2 linked regions of the Bombyx mori genome follow. The protein of the gene in region 2 interacts with the protein of the main gene of each other region in a pairwise test. Links are inferred from orthologs where the notes say so. Each region holds a gene or a part of one and is shown on either strand. Other genes may lie near its edges.

Evidence for each region.
Region 1: the proteins of protein prenyltransferase alpha subunit repeat-containing protein 1 (region 2) and geranylgeranyl transferase type-2 subunit beta interact in a two-hybrid assay, tested with the Drosophila melanogaster proteins (2 studies listed by BioGRID). The link is inferred for Bombyx mori from reciprocal best matches to the Drosophila melanogaster genes temp and RabGGTb.

What each region holds. Positions count from the first base shown.
Region 1 is NC_085123.1:2,129,546-2,137,427, reverse strand, and holds geranylgeranyl transferase type-2 subunit beta, read right to left. Parts: upstream 7,487-7,882; 5' UTR 7,324-7,486; coding exon 7,130-7,323; intron 6,931-7,129; coding exon 6,813-6,930; intron 6,719-6,812; coding exon 6,625-6,718; intron 6,046-6,624; coding exon 5,875-6,045; intron 4,318-5,874; coding exon 4,164-4,317; intron 2,585-4,163; coding exon 2,314-2,584; 3' UTR 2,246-2,313; downstream 1-2,245. Other genes in the region: glucose dehydrogenase [FAD, quinone], read right to left, coding at 1-115, 720-864.
Region 2 is NC_085127.1:9,748,067-9,757,309, reverse strand, and holds protein prenyltransferase alpha subunit repeat-containing protein 1, read right to left. Parts: upstream 4,501-9,243; 5' UTR 4,359-4,500; coding exon 4,282-4,358; intron 4,209-4,281; coding exon 3,814-4,208; intron 3,336-3,813; coding exon 2,470-3,335; 3' UTR 2,224-2,469; downstream 1-2,223.

The sequences.
Region 1 (7,882 bases), on a different chromosome or scaffold from region 2:
ACAGGAATATCCAGTAAACCATGACCCTTGCTTCCTGCTTCCAATACTATATATGTGTAGTTAGTCTCTGTGGCTATGCGATGTGCTATTATGGAGCCAGCTGTGCCAGATCCAACTGCAATATTCAAGAGTAAGTTATTATTATTCTTTTTATTGGCTTTGTAGGGAGATGAGCATATGGCTAACCTGATGGTGAGTGGTTACCGTCGCCTATGGACTTCAGCAATGCCAGGAGCATAGCCAAGCTGCTGCCTACCGTTTAATACTCTCCACAAGCTTTATTTGAAGAAGAACATATCATAATGCTCAAACACTATGGAGGAGAGCTCATTCTAAAGCCAGATGGTACGTGACAAAGAAGATCTCTGGAAACGCACTGTGGATGAACACGGTGGCTCCAGGTAGCTGTTTGTGATTATTGTTTTTTTATTTTTTATTTTACTCAGTAACATTACTCAGCTATATAGTTTAATTAGCTTTAATCAGAGCTCGATTATATTTAATTATATACTAACAAACAAAAATTTTTTCTCAAGAATGAACCTCAATTTATTAATCGTTTGATTTCATTATTTTTTTTAAGTTAAAAACATATACTTATTAAGTTTAATGCTCGCTGGTATATGTTTTAACCAGAAGGAAAATAAACTAGAGCAGGTATGGGGTTGAGCTGATAAGTAGTAGGACAAAATATAAAGAAATACGAGAAATTCACTTACCAATAATATAATCATATTCCGTTTCAACTGTTTTTAGATAAATTGATGCGAAAATATCGCTATAGTAAATTATATATGTGAACAATGTGACTATATGAACACACACGCTAAATATGAAAAATTGTACACAGTATGAAAAGTTCATTTTAATATTGGTGCTTATTTTAAATACGTTCTAATCATTATAAAGTTCATTTTGAAATAGGTAGGTATTTTGCTGAATTTAATTTAAAGGTTATGTTTACAATTTAAACTGGTTATGACAAGCCATTCAACGACGAGTTTTTTATTTATACAGCCAAGTTAGTATTTAGTTCATTCCATTCTACTTACGAAATCAGATGAACCTATTTGCAGGAACACGAACAGTGAACTGTTTCATTATGTCCATTTGTTGTGTTTCTTTAACTTTAAACGAATAATAATGTCAAAAGGCAGCGGCTTGGTTTTGCCCCTGTTATTGCTGATGTTAACTAGTGACTGTGATTACTTACAGTCTATCAAAGCAGTTAACCGCTCAGCATCTGTGCGGTAGACTTTCACAAGTTTGCGAAAAAGAAACAAAATTTCCGAACGAGGCTCCTCGTGTTCTTTCAAAAAGTCTATTGAAGTCAAGAAATTCCCAACATATTACTGAGATATCTTGGTCACGTCATCGCATTTCGTTTCAATCAATTCAGTTCCCTTTTCATAGAACAAAGTATGTATTCATAAATATTTATTTAGTTTCGACAGTGGGCATCGCAAGAAGCCGATAGTAATATTTTAGATATATAAAAAATTGGAGTGTCAACCATAGGCAATGGGTATCCAGTATTGATTGTCGGACATCAGTTCTTTCAGGCGTTTCAGACAACTGCTGAGAATATTTTCAAACTTTCTTTAAAGCAGGTTGTATACTTTTTTTGGGATTGAAGGATTACTAGTGGCCCGGAGCCTTCTCCAGTTTCACCGGGACAGGTGGGCGGGCACGAGCTCAACTAGGAGAGGTGGGATTTGCTAACAACTCAAGAGCAGCTGCTTCGCGAATGAATCTACTACCGTATAAGAATCGCGACCCGCTGAAAAGATTCGGTTTATTCCGAGAAGACTCCGGTTAGGTTGCGACGAGTACGGTTACCGGGGTCCCTAAGCCTGCTCCTAGTGAATGGATCTGATGGATCCGTAAGGACGTGTCTGAGGCCCAGGATGTATGCTCTTGGGTAATATGGAAGGGGAAGTGCATCCTAGAGCCCAGCCTAGAGCCGAGTTAACCGAGTCAAGTACATAAATCATGTTACAAGAAGTTACTTTGTTATGAAATGTTTTGTTTGGATAGCGTTAGCCTAGCATTTACTTTTCTAATAATTGACTAAACTAGCATGTAGTGTCATTAACTATTTAGGTACCAGACTACTGCCACTATGTAAAATATTGACATACAAATTGAATATCGATTTTCTAAGCTCAAACAATCATGTTATTGTTATGAACCATATAGACACTTCGCTACGAACAATAGCTTTATAAATAACACAATATCCCAATAAATTAAATAACATAGTTTATTCACGTCAAATGTAAACATACAATAAAAAAACATTTATCCTTAAAATTAAATTTGCAGTATCTGTGGTTTTAGTTTCAGCCTGTCTATTGTTTCCTGTGGCATGCAGTATGTGGGGTTAACAGGTTTTATACTGGTGTTGCCTAGTAATGAAAGGCCTGCCAGACCAAACAATGTATGGAATGGGTCTGTGATGTCTCCGGGCCTGTCACTAAAGCCACCAGTTTCATTATCTTGACATGCTAAGATAAATTCTTCTAAGCTTTTCTTGTCTACCCAGTGAATTCTATTCAGCATTGAAAGTGAAGACATGACCCACCTGTAATTTTAAAATTATGTGATCATTCCGATAGTTTTACAATCATTTTTTTATGGCAGTCGCTACAGTTGGTGGTACACACTTACTGGTGGTAGGACCTCCTGCGAGTCTGCGCGGGTGAGTACCACCACCCTGCCTGTTTCTTCCGTGAAGCAGTAATGCGTTTCGGTTTAAAGGGTGGGGCAGCCGTTGTTTTTTTTTTATTTTTTATTGCTTTGGTGGGTGTACGAGCTCACAGCCCACCTGATATTAAGTGGTTACTGGAGCCCATAGACATCTACAACGTAAATGCGCCACCCACCTTGAGATATAAGTTCTAAGGTCTCAGTATAGTTACAACGGCTGCCCCACCCTTCAAACCGAAACGCATTACTGCTTCACGGCAGAAATAGGCGGGGCGGTGGTACCTACCCGTGCGGACTCACAACAGGTCCTACCACCAGGTTTTACGCAAATTATAATTTTGCGGGTTTGATTTTTATTACACAATGTCATTCCTTCACCATGGAAGTCAATCGTGAACAATTGTTAATCGTATTTCATTAGAAAAATTGGTACCCGCCTGCGGGATTCGAACATCGGTATAGTAAGCGGCACGTAAGTTGGCAAGGTTTTGGTGTAGTGGGGGTAATGTCGCGCATAGTGCACATTGCAACAAAAAATGGTTTATTGCCGCATATAATTTAATTTTATTTTATTGTTTATTTGCCATAACTTATTTTTAAGCCTGTGTATTTTGAAGAAAGTTAAAGAAAAGAGAGGAATTCGTGAAGTGTATTAGGCGTTATAAATAAAATAGAATTAAAAGTTAAGAAGTTTATTTTAAAAAATATATTTAATATTCAAAATTATGTGTCGCCGCGGCGTCGTCACTATCATTTTCTAATAGTGCTACCCCTTGGATTAAATTTATGGTAGCACCTGAGCTGGTGAAAGGAGTTGGCTCCTCATCGTCGACATAACGAAGAGTCGCTGTCGTCACTGGCGTAAATAATAAAACGCTCAGTGACTGAATCTACTATATGGTCATTGGTGCGGGAGGGGAGCGTCGACTGACTCACCAATCGCGCGCTCGGAACGGTGCTACGTCTTTCCCCGCGTCCCGCTTGACAACCAAAGAGACCTAAAAAACGACTTCTGCGCATCTAACGAATCTTGCCAAGTTACGTGCCGGGGACTATACATCGGTAGATCCGAACCCTTTTACAACAGTTTTAAGATATAAGTTTCCCATAATTTATACAAAAATTAATACATATTTATAGACCTGAAGCTTTTTACTGGAGGTAGGTCGTCTTGTGAGCTTAGATAGCCACCGATAAGTACTACCAACCTGTCCAAGGTTGGGAAACTCATCACATTCAAAGTAGGTGGCGACATTTACGTTGCTGATATCTATTGGCTCCCGTAATCCCTCAACGCTAGGTTGTTCGTGAATTAATCTGAGCAATAAAAAAAAAGTTGCTCCACATCTATGGGCGGCAATAACCACTTTAACCTAGGTGAGCCAGTTCAACAATCTGAGAAGTAAAAACATATAGTCTCTATATAAAAACATTATAGTGAAAAGAGTTCTCACCAAGAGTAGCACAAATCTGGCAGCTTTTCCGGTCGACCATTCAGACCACCACTGGGCAGCTGTCGTTCACATAGCCACCACGCCAGCTCGTCTGCGTGTAGGGCATCCATGCGCTTGCATATCGACAGTGTACCCACACAGCAGTAAATTAGACCTGCAGAAATTTAAATGGAATTACTAGTTTTTGAAAAAAAAAACACTTTTCGAATTACTCATATACACGTACTCGTATCCACGAAATAATAATTACCATAAATTTTACAGGTAAAAAATTTGCTAGACCGGACGTCCAAAATTTGTTTGGAGCTTGTAAAATACATTCAAGCATTTTTTAAATATCTTGTTTTATATTAAGATGGCTAGTCTACAGAATTTTATTAATAACTAGCTGACCCGGCAAACGTTGTGTTGCCTTAAATAAGATTTCTAGAGAAATTCTACTGTAGAAAAAAAACCTCATTTAACCACATAATACCTCATTATAAACAAAAAAAAAATCCAAAAAATTAAAATAAAAAGTAAATGTTTGGGGTGGACAACCCTTTTCACTTAGGGGTATGAAAAATAGATAGTAGCCGATTCTCAGATCTACTGAACATACTATTGATACACAAATAAAACCAAAAAAACACGGCTGAAAAATGTATAGTATTGTGTATATAGCTCTTAAATATATTAAGTGTATAAATCTATGATGTATAGTGAGTAAGTAAGACAGGAGACCGGCTTCGTCCTCATCCCTACTACGTGATGTTTGCTGGATGAGTGGTGACACCTGGCGGGGATAGCTGATCGATTGATAGTTGATCAGTAGTCGACCGGCGAGGGCGGGAGATCAAATTGAATTTAAAAAAAATCATAATTGAAGAACTTGAAATTATAAACTCTGAATAAGAATTTATCGTACTACAATTATAATATTTGATTGCCATCTTGCAAACTTATTGCAGATCTGTGCATAGAATAAAAAAAAAATTAATCGGGATGGAAAAATAGGGGTTGATTGTATAAGAGTGAAAATTGACAGTAATATGATTTTTTTTTATTTTAAGTAATGACAAAACAAAATAAAAAACTTGACAAAAAAATTAAAGTTTATAATTAACAAATAAAAAAAGGGGTTGATCATAGAGGGATGAAAAATTGAGAGTAACATCAGATTTTTTATTTTAATTCATGACAAAATAAAAATAAAAATGAAAATCTTGCCAAAAAAATTAAAGTTAACAGATAAAAAATAGGGGTTGATCGTAGAGGGGTGAAAATTTCAGAGTAATATGAATTTTATTATTCTACGTCATGACAAAATAAAAACAAAATTCTCGCAAAAAAATTTAAAGTTTTTAATTAGCAAATAAAAAATTAGGGTTGATCGTAGAAGGGTGAAAATTGAGGATTGTATGTATTTTTGTATGTTGTATCATAAAAAAATAGAAATTAAAAATTTTGAATAAAAAATAAAAAAAATATTTAGGGGTGGACTACCCCTAACATTTAGGGGGATGAAAAATAGATGTTGGCTGATTCTCATAGATACCGGATAAGCACAAAAAATTTCATCAAAATCGGTCAAGCCGTTTCGGAGGAGTATGGCAACGAAAACTGTGACACGAGAATTTTATATATTAGATATTGAGAAAGATATGAATTTAATTTCAGAACTAAAATTATTTCTCAAAATGTACCAAATAAATAATCCGAAATTACTTACCAGCATGGCTTTCCGATCCAGGTTTGGAACCGAATCCACCATCAAAGTTCATGCAACTGAGCACAAACTCCACAGTCTTGTTGATGTCGATGGCATCCAATCGTTGTAAGAGTGATAGACACATTACCGCACAGAAAGAGAACCTAGTGTCTATTTCACCCCATTTGTCTCCTTTAAGCAACATAAAATAATTTGAATAATTTGGGTAGGTATTTAATCTAGCATTCTCTACTGTTTTCATGACTCATAGACATAATTAACCTTCTTTTTAGACTTTAATTTAACATTAAAGTTTAAATAGTATACTGGGATTATTTATATTCCGACTTTTCAAATATTTTACAGAAAAGTGTACTTATGTCTTTCTGTTTGAAAGTACATGTAAATATCAATATGCAATTATTATATAAGTTGAAATTTAGCACATTATTTAAATGTCCATGAATAACAGCTTAATAATGAAAATAACAAATGATTAGATTAAAATGTAAAAATATTTTTTAATTAGGAATATAATGTTTCGCAACACATTGCAAAGAATATTGTTGTTTTAATTTAATATACTATAACCAAATGCTCTTTGGATTTATTAAGTAAATTAATGTTTTCTTTAAAAAAAAGTAAATAGTAATGTTTGTATTTTATGACAAATATTCATTCATTTTAATGTAGTATGATATGAATAGTCAACAAATTTTAGATTATATTCTGATTTATTTATGAGAAGCAAGTGAAGATAATAATATTTACCATAAAAACTACCATCTTCTTGCTGTAAGGAAACTATGTATCTGACAATTCCTTCAATATCAACAGCATCTAATCTATCATACATCGCCAGTACCTGTTAACAAATAAAAGTAATGACAAACAAAATAAAAATATTACGTAACTTTATTCAAATTTTAAAATGATTTTCTGGTTGTTTCATGTTCTACCTGTACAGCACTTAATGTGTATAGTATGTGTGGATCATGTCCGATGCTAGCCGAGATACCTCCACTTTCACTATCTTGGCATTGTGTAATGAATTCTATTATATCTTCTTTAGGCATCCTGGAACAAAATTCCAGGTTTTACAACGCTTGTAGGACTCTCAAAGGCGACTTTCACTTTATTTTTATACAAGAATTAATTTTTAACCATGTTCATTGTTCAAATTTTACAAGGTTTATGTTGATTTAAGGTTGATATAATAATATGATTGATTGAGGTTAATAACGGGTAAAAATCATAATATAAATACTTTTGATACCTTGATGATTGTCCCATGAGTTCCATAGCAGTTAAACTCCAGTAAATACCGGACATTCTTAGATATTCGGTCATACAATACTCGTAGTCATCTTTATTTAAGCCGTAACTGGCTAAATAGTCGGAGTGCTTTTGTAAGAGTAAAGTTTTAGGTCGATCTTCTTTTAAGACAACATCTTTCGTTGTAAAAGACATTTTAAATTTTTATTCTATTGCAATGTACATTAAATTAAAAGCTACAATGTTTTGAAACGGGATGATAATATTTTGAGTTATCAGTCTATCTATCTATCTCTTAGGTTTATGGCGTTATGAGTTATCAGTCAGCATTTAAAGTTAGATGTCAAAAGTGACAGAGGGATTTTATGTCATTGTGACATTATGTTATTAAAGTTTTAACGTTTGGAAATTGTGGGAAAATAAAATATTTAGTCACTCAGAGTTCTACCTTATGGTAGAATCAACCGCTAAATCTTTTGGGGCCGGGCAACATATACAATAAATTGCAAGCCGGGTCTGTTATAATGGTCGAGTTGTAGTAATTTGACAAATTCAATTAATAGTACTGAAGAGCTTTTAGCTCGGGGCGATCGCCGGATAACGCTAGTGGCATAGTAGCACTTTAGCTAGCGATTTAACGCATCGGCTGGTTCGGGACGGGGAGTAGGGAAAGGGGGAACGGGGAAGGTTTTTTTTGCGGGTATTTTTTTATGATTGAAAGATTACTGGTGGCCCTAAGGCCTTTCCAGTTTCT
Region 2 (9,243 bases):
GTACATATTTAGTGCTAGGTGTTTATATGAGTTCATAGACACAAGACATAAATTAAAATCAAGAACAGCTGAAAAACAGCAAACGCAGCAGCAGTAAATGGTACGACTAAGCAGTAATACCAACACGTCGAAAGATTGTGGAGAGTATGAAGCGGTAGGCAGAGGCTTGGCTCTGCCCCTGGCATTGCTCAAGTCCATGGGCGACGGTAAGCACTCACCGTCAGGTGGGCCGTATGCTCATCTGCCTACAAGAGCAATAAAAAAAATTTGCATTGGTAGGTCTACTGTCAAATCGACAAGACAAGTGCGATGGTGCTCAATATTTCAATAGAGCACAAGGACGTTGGCGATAGCATACAATGGCCGCCTCAACGTTTATAGCGTGACTTTTGTATTTTTTTTAGAATTAAATAGCCTAGTCACACTGCTCATGACCTAGTCCATGATAGGCATTTACCAAAGTCCATGACAACGTGAATGGCACGGTCTACCTTGAAATTTAAGGTCTAAGCCTCATTTTTGTTTTTTTTTTTTTTTTTGTTTTGATACCACCGTCTGCAGACGTCAACATTGACACATAACTATGCCTCCACTGCGCAATATTCTTCACAAACCTCATTTGAAGGTTGCCATCTCTCATGAAGTCTGCCATAGCACTCATTAAAGGCAGAACAATCGGAATAAACACGACCTCATATTGTCACAAAACATTCGTTACTCTAGGAAAAAAACATATTTTCGCTGCCCTTATTTGACGGGTTAAATCGACCATGCCAGGGTAAATTTTCAGAGATATAACGTTTTTTCGTTTTTTTTCCTTTCTAATTTTTATTTTTTATTTTTTTTTCGATTTTTTTATTTATATGTGTTGACGAGCTCACAGCCCACCTGGTGTTAAGTGGTTCCTGGAGCCCATAGATATCTACAACATAAACGCGCCACCCACCTTGAGATATAAGGTTTAAGGTCTCAGTATGGTTACAACGGCTGCCCCGCCCTTCAAACCGAAACGCATTACTGCTTCACGGCAGAAATAGACAGGACGGTGGTACCTACCCGCGCGAACTCACAAGAGGTCCTACCACCAGTAATTACGCAAATTATAATTTTGCAGGTTTGATTTTTATTACACGATGTCATTCCTTCACCGTGGAAGACAATCGTGAACATTTCTCAAGTACGTATTTATTCATTAGAAAAATTGGTACCCGCCTGCGGGATTCGAACACCGTTGCATCGCTACATACGTATGTAACGGACGTCTTATCCTTTAAGTCACGACGACTTAAAATTAATGCGATTTAGTTCCTAATTTAGTTCTTAATTTGGAAGGCAAAGCCAAGTTGGCGTCCAAAATCTTCGGATTCCTCAACAGAGCAAAGTGGTACTTCACGCCTGGACAAAGACTTTTGCTTTATAAAGCACAAGTCCGGCATCCCATTTCTGGGTCGGGGCTCCCAAATACCAGCTTCTTCCATTTGACTCCACACAGAAGAGAGCCTTTCGGATTGTCGAGACTCCCTTTCTCACAGATCGTTTGGAACCTCTGGGTCTGCGGAGGGACTTCGTTTCCCTCTCTATTTTGTACCGTATGCTCCATCTGCGGAATTGTTTGAAATAATACCTTCATCTCGTTTTTACCATCGCACCGCCCGCCTCCGGAGTAGAGTTCATCCATACTACCTGCAGCCACTGCGTTCATCCACAGTGCGTTTTTTGCGATCTTTTTTGCCACGTACCATCCGGCTTTGGAATGAGCTCCCCTCCACGGTGTTTCCCGAGCGCTATGACATACCCTTCTTCAAACGAGGCTTGTAAAAAGTACTTAACGGTAGGCAGCGGCTTGGCTCTGCAATTGGCATTCCTGAAGTCCATGGGCGACGGTAACCACTCACCACCGGGTGGGCCGCCTCGTCGGCCTATAAAAAAAAATTATAATAATCCAAAGTCCCAAATCAAATGCGCTTTGTAAGAAACAACATAAAACTACTCGGAGTATTTCTAAATTAGGACCATGACCAATATAAAGCGGATTGTGCGTCCACACGAGTATGTCCTGCCTATTTCTGCCGCGAAAGACATACGTTTCGTTTAATAGGAAGTAGCCATTTGATCCGAACCATTGGAGCCGTTATTTGAGTCTAATCAAGACTAAATCCATATTAATATCTCAAGGTGAGTGGGAGAGAGGAAGCTTGTCCAATGTTAAAAAAATCGGCATCATTTTAATTAAAATGTCTTTTAATATTGTGGTATACTTTTATAACATTATCTTATTTGATTAGATCATACAAAATCCTGTTTCAAAACTAGAATTACAATTTTCAAAAAAAATACCTGCAATTACAAATGTAAAAAGATTCCAAGCATTCAGCCTATAGCCTTGCTTGCTTGCCTAACTTGACTCCAGTTTAAGTACGGCATTTGTAATTGTTTAAACATAAATTCACACAAGAAACACAGAACTATTCATATAACAATATTTAATCCTTCAACAAATTTCAAGTATTTTTCATGTCTTTCTGCAAATTTATCTGAATCACTGTTTCTTTCTGCAATGAACTTTCTTTCATGCGAGATGAGCACTTTAAATATAGCACTAGAATAAACATGATTACAATCATATCTTACTATCTTCACTTGCTTTTGCCTTAAATCATTAGAATTACATTTCTTACAATTGTCTTTGACTAGAGCCCCATTCTGCTTCTTCAATCCGAAATATTCATACATGGAAATGATCAACTCATGAACGATGTACCGTCTATGGTACCATAGTGACTCATGCCACTTATAGAACTGTATCAATTCACTATTTAAAACTAATTCACGGAAAAGTACTTCAAATTTTCTACATAGATAAACATTATTATGTTTACAGTTACAATTTCTAGTATTTGAAAGGAGCAAATTTATTAACTTTTCTTCAGAGTACTCCATTAAATTATCGTCTGCGTTCAGTAAAGTCATATCATTCTGTAAAGCTTTTAACAAAACATTAACAAAACATTTACGTAAATCAATTTCAATGCTGTTTTGAAACATTTTCCAGAATACATCATTCAAATGTAAGATAACATTTTTTATGCAATATTGTCTATAGTGAAAACAACTAAAATCTGAAACATGTTTTGATGTCCATCTTTCCGAGAAATTATATTCTTTGATGTACAAGAGGTCCAAGCTAAAATTTGTAATTTTCTTTAATGTATTAAGCAGCCACATACGATGGTTCCAACTGTGATAATTATTAGGACTTTTATCCGAGGCAATTTGACAGAGATGAAACTCCTCATTAACAAGATTCTGGATATAGTTTGATTGGAGGTTTTCATCTGAAAATGAAGGCAATTCTTTAGTGTAGTTAGAAATAATACTTGTATTTTAAATTCAATATATTAAATTCAATGTGTCATAATTGTTTCTTTTATCTCTTTTCTGATTAAATTTATTTATTACAATCAAGAACTAGACATTTTATATCCATTTTACCTATTTTCTTATAATGTATTTATGTTTCAGCTATTATATTGCTATAATGGAAGATGAAAAATATCCAATTAAGCTAGAGTAAATCAATAAATATTATTGGAGTCAAGTATGATCTCAGAATGAACAAAAACAGGCTGAGATAACAATTAATTAAGCAATTCATAATTTCTTGTGTTTATGCCACGGACAGACAATGTACTGCCTAGTGTGCACTGTATCTTTTGTAATCTAATTTATAACTACGAGCTTTAACGTTCTGAAACATTAGTGTTTTAGGAAATTTAATAATTCAGTATCTACTAATTCATTTATTCACTATACCTTGTAATATAGCCTCGAGTAACCATCGTCTATACCCAAACGCCTCATTACATTTGGGTTTCCTTGACAATACTAATCTAGTCAATTTCAACTCTGAACTTTTTTCTAATAAATTTCTGAGTACCATATCACGCCTTTTGTTCCATAATGTATTAAGTTCTGGGTTCAGTAAAAGTGTTACACTCAATAATCGACCTAGTTTTTCCGAATGTATAGAGCCGAGTGTGCTGTTTCGACGTTTAGTTTTGCAGAAATATTTATCCATTAATTCTGAGTAGCAATACATGTACACATGCTTAACACACCACGACTCCAGCCCTAAGCAATTTTCTAAGTGAAGAACCGGAGTTTTATTGCGAAAATTACTATCCACTGGAACTATGTCGAAAGCGTACCTGAAAATATTTTACGTTTTAATATATTTAAATAAATTCCGATTATCTTTGAATTTGTGCCAAATATATTTACAACTCAGCGTTTTTCGATAAAACATTTTCAATATCTTTTATTATTTTTTCAACCAGCGCGAATTTATCCTCCTCCATTATTAATGCACACAATAACACGTAATTGAATTAATTGAATATGAATAAATACATAGGTAGGTATTGAAATATACAAATCGTTTTTTACTAGTTCATTGAAAGTTTAAACTCAAAACATCACATATGGGTATTATCTGTGCATGACGATCACAGCACAGACCTATCAGAAATTCGAAAACATTGTCAATGAGAAGGCTTACTGAATTTGGCCCCTCATTTTTGATTTTCGGTTTTATTTTTATTTTTAATTATTTGTTTGTCGTTTATTCGTTAATGTTCGAATGTAAAAATTGTTTGTTCGTTTTATTTATAATTAATTAAACAAATGATCATCCTTAAGTTGGCCCCTCATACTAGATATCTTTATTTTTATTGCTCAGATTAATTAATTTTGATTTATTATCGTTTGTTCGACGACTATTGGTGATTGTTCGCTCATAAAAATAATTAAATTCTCAATTATTAATTATTTTATATCTAATAAGCAAACAATCACCTCACGCCTACATTGCGCATGCGCCGATTTTCAGTCAACTGGCAAAATCGTATTTAATAGCGTTTTGTTAACAAGTGCATTTATACTGTCTAATATTTCTTATGTAGATCAAAAAAATATTGAAAACTTCAACAATACTTCAACAAAAATATGTCAGTGAAGACGGTCAATTAGTCGTTAAAGTATGATTAGCGCGGTCTTAATAAATTCAGTTATTTTTAATGATATTGAATATTAACAAGCATCAGTGGCGTACCTAGGGGGGGGCGGTGGGTGCGGTCCGCACCGGGCGGCACTTACCCTGGGGCGGCATTTTAGCATTTACTTTTAGTTGTTTAAAACAATTTATTCATTTCATATTTATTTTCTTTCTTGAATAATAAATGATTATTATGATTATTATAAGTTTAATATTTGATTTATATAAATTATGATTAACTATATGATTTCGAATATTATTCATCGGTGTATATAAATGCATATTAGTGTAAATTTTGAATGCTAATTCAAGAACAAGGTAATAATTTGATTTTATTGTATTAATAAAAATTCTTTGAATTCGTAAAAGTATCTTTTCGATTTTGTTCGGCAATTTTTCCTAACTAAAATTTTTTAATATCAGTTTATAAATGTCATTTCGTTTGAAAAGTTTATATGATTACTTTGAAGTAATATATCAATATTTTTTTATTCATCGATTTTTCTTTTGAAAAACAGGGCCGGCGGAAGGTGCTCTGCTAGGTCTGCAAGGCATTAGGGCGCCGGCATAAGAACTATCTTTTTCAAACAACAAAATCTAAACGAGATAAAACTAAAATACTGACGAAGTTACAATTTCAGAACTCGCAAATAGATAAATATTCTCAGTCCGTTTTGAAGAATTGTATTTGGATTGATAAATTGCTTAAAAACCATTTTGTTCATTAGCGATTCAATCTTTTAACAGTGAAGAGTGAAACAAATTATTAGGGTGCAAGTGCATTTGGGGAATTTATAATTGTTAAGCATATTGTATTACGTATTGTAGATATAGATGTTATTCAGCGAAGTAAAATAGCTTTGCCGTTTTCTATAAATAATATACTATTTATTTCGGCAAGTTATATTTTTATTATATATCCCTAGGATGAAACGAGTAAAAGAAAGCGGTGCGTCATTTAGAAAGAAAAGAAAGAAAAGGGAGGAAATACAGATTAAAAACACTGGAGCACTACTCAAATACATCTCTCATAAGCCAACTTCTAGTTCTTTTAGTATTGTTGCCTTAAAAACGGGTGAAGAAGCAGCGCTCGAAGGCGAAAAAACATTATCCAATGTTGTTCAAGAGGAAAGACCTGCTTCACACACTGGCGAAGAAGTAGAAAGTTTATCAAGTCCTGATGAAGAATCTGCTGCACAAATTATTCTGTCTGTTTCTATGAAAGATATTGGATTATGGCCTAACAAAATTGACGACAATACAAGAGTAATTCTGGTACATCAAGGTCCCTTTTTAATTCAAAATTTAGACGCCGACTTCAGCGAAGGATTAAAACGTTCTAATAATACAAGCAAAGCCAAAGGTGAAACAAGAAAACTGAGTCGGGACTGGTTTTTTCAAATTTAGCCTAATGGCGAAAAGCTCTTAAGATCGTATATTACCATCGAAGAAAAGTATTTATTGTTTCTGCTGCAAACTGTTTGATAATCTTTGTCAAGCAGGTTTTAATACGGAAAATGGTTTTAACAAATGGTGGAAACTTAATCCTAAAATTAGTCAACATGTGGTTAGTTCGCTGCACATCCGATCATATTACAAATGGAAGGGATTAGAAATAAGACTTGGAAGTGGAGCAACTATTGACAAACTACAACAACAGAATATTGATAAAGAAATAAAAAAATGGAAGGAAATTCTAACAAGAATACTTGATATAATTAGATTCTTAGCAAAACAAAATTTGGCATTTCGAGGACATCGTGAAAGTGTTCATCAGGAAAACATCGATTTACTGGAAAATAGAGGAAATTTTCTCGAGGTTGTTGACTTATTGGCTAAGTACGACCCAGTATTACGAGAACATGTAGTAAAAATTAAGATGGGTAATAAATATAGTCTCTCTTATTTGTCGCCGAAGATTCAGAACGAATTCATAGAGCTATTGAGAGGCGCAGTCAGAAAAACAATTATGGATCAAATAAAGCAGGCTAAATACTTTTGTATTATATTTGATAGCACTCCTGACATTTCACACAAAGATCAAACCAGTCAAATTATTAGATATGTAGTTATTGAAGGTAGCAAAGTTAAAGTTTAGTTAGTTTTAGAATCGTTTATTGACTTTGTAGAAACTAAAGGAAAAACTGCTGTTGAAATCACAGATATAATTTTAACGAAATTAGAAAATGACGGTTTAGACATAAAAAATTGCAGAGGACAGGCTTACGATAATGCTGCCGTCATGGCAGGAAAGCACAGCGGTGTTCAAACTCGCATTAAAGAAATATGTAAATCCAAATGCAGAATTTGTAGCATGTATAAATCATTCCTTTTAAACCTATTTTTTTTTTTTTTTTGTCAGGAGGAAATCGCTGGACATCCGCCCTTCACTGGGGATGGAGGGCGGGGCATGTCGGAGTCGAACCGACTAAAACCTCCTGTCTCTCAACAACCAACGTCCAAACCTCGCATGAGACAAAACTCATGAAAAGGCAAGGGGGGGAAAGTGAAGCGTTTAGTGCGGAGCACATCTCTCCCATCACCCTCCCCCTCGGGACGCCGGACTGGCGGTCGTCGGCGCCACGACCACCAGCCCTCTCGGTCGGCAGGCTATCCGAAGCCCGCCTAGATGGCACCGGTTAGAATGGTCTATCCTACGGAATGCCCCGCTGGGTCAGAACCAGCGTGGGTTAGGATAGCGTTGAGGATAGCCGGCCTTCCATCACCCGGATGCTCATGCATAAAACGCGTGCAGAGCAGCTTGCACGTCGTCTTCTTAGGCCCCCTTCGCCGGTCCCCAGGCCGACATGTGAGGGAGACCCGAAACACTTAGAGGGCCAGGGCTTGGGCGAGATCCGCCTCCCTGGCCCCCGCTCGACGGCGGCGGGCCTGTGCGTCTCTCACGCGCCCCGCCGCCTCCTTCTGCGAGATGGTGCACTCGCAGAAGTCGAGCATCGCCTTCCACGACTCGTCGTCACCGAGCATCGATGCCACAACACTCGGCAACGACAAGTCGTTTCCTATTTTTGCGACGAGGACACGGCGCCACCCCTCCCATGCGGGGCAGGCGACGAGCGTGTGCTCCGCCGTGTCCAAGTCGCAACCACAATGGTGGCACTCTGCCGTCGGCTCGGCTCCGATCCGGTGCAGGAACTCACCGAAGCAACCATGCCCAGTGAGCACCTGCGTGAGCCGGAAAGTGAGGCGTCCTCTGTCACGATTCACCCAGTTCACAAGAACCGGGCGAATCGCCTCGACGGTCCTACGACCAGCCGAAGGATCGGCCAGCCGTCTGGACCATGACTCCAGCACGGACCGCCGAGATTGGGCCCTCCGCGCTCTGACCACACTGGGGCTGGGACGTGCCATGCCCCGGGCACGAAGGTCAGCCCGCCACTGATAGTCAGCGGCGAGCGCCTCCGCCTCCAGGACCCAAGGCGGCGTCCCAGCCAGTACACACGCCGCCTCGAAGGAGATGGTGCGATAGCCACGGATGACCCTTCCTTTTAAACCTGGCATGTTTGCACGAAGCTTCTACAGCTATCAATTCCATCACATTTTTTGTAACTATCGAACAGTTGTTTTCGTTGTTTTCTTCTTCCACTCATAGACGGAATGTTTTACTTTCGGTCACTGGTCAAGGTGTTAAACGTAGTGTAGAAACTCACTGGAGCGCTAGAGCTGCCGCGGTAACTATAGTAAAAAAAATTTTTTTTTACATTTTAAGCGCTTTGGAAAAATTGACATCTGAAGAAGAACATAGTAAAACGCTATCAGATGCTGGAGTATTACTCAATTCTATGCAATCGTTTTCTTTTCTATGTTACCTTCATTTATGGGAATCCGTTCTTTTGGAAATTAATGACGCTCAAAAATACCTGCAAATAAAGAGGTTAAATGTCCACCAATGCCATATAAAACTAAATTCTTTGCAAACACATTTAATGGAACAAAGAGATACGCTAGTACAAAACGCTGTTTTACGCAAAATATCGACTGAGCGTCGAGTTAGAAGGAGAAAAAATATGAGTGGGGAAAATTCGCAAGACGTGGGGCTATCCTTAGAAGAAGAAGTACGAAGAGAAATGTTTTCATCTATGCTTCTATGCTTTCATCGAAGCTTCTCAAAATTGAAGTTGATAAAAAATTATCTTCGTTCTACAATGAGTCAATCAAGACTACAAAATCTT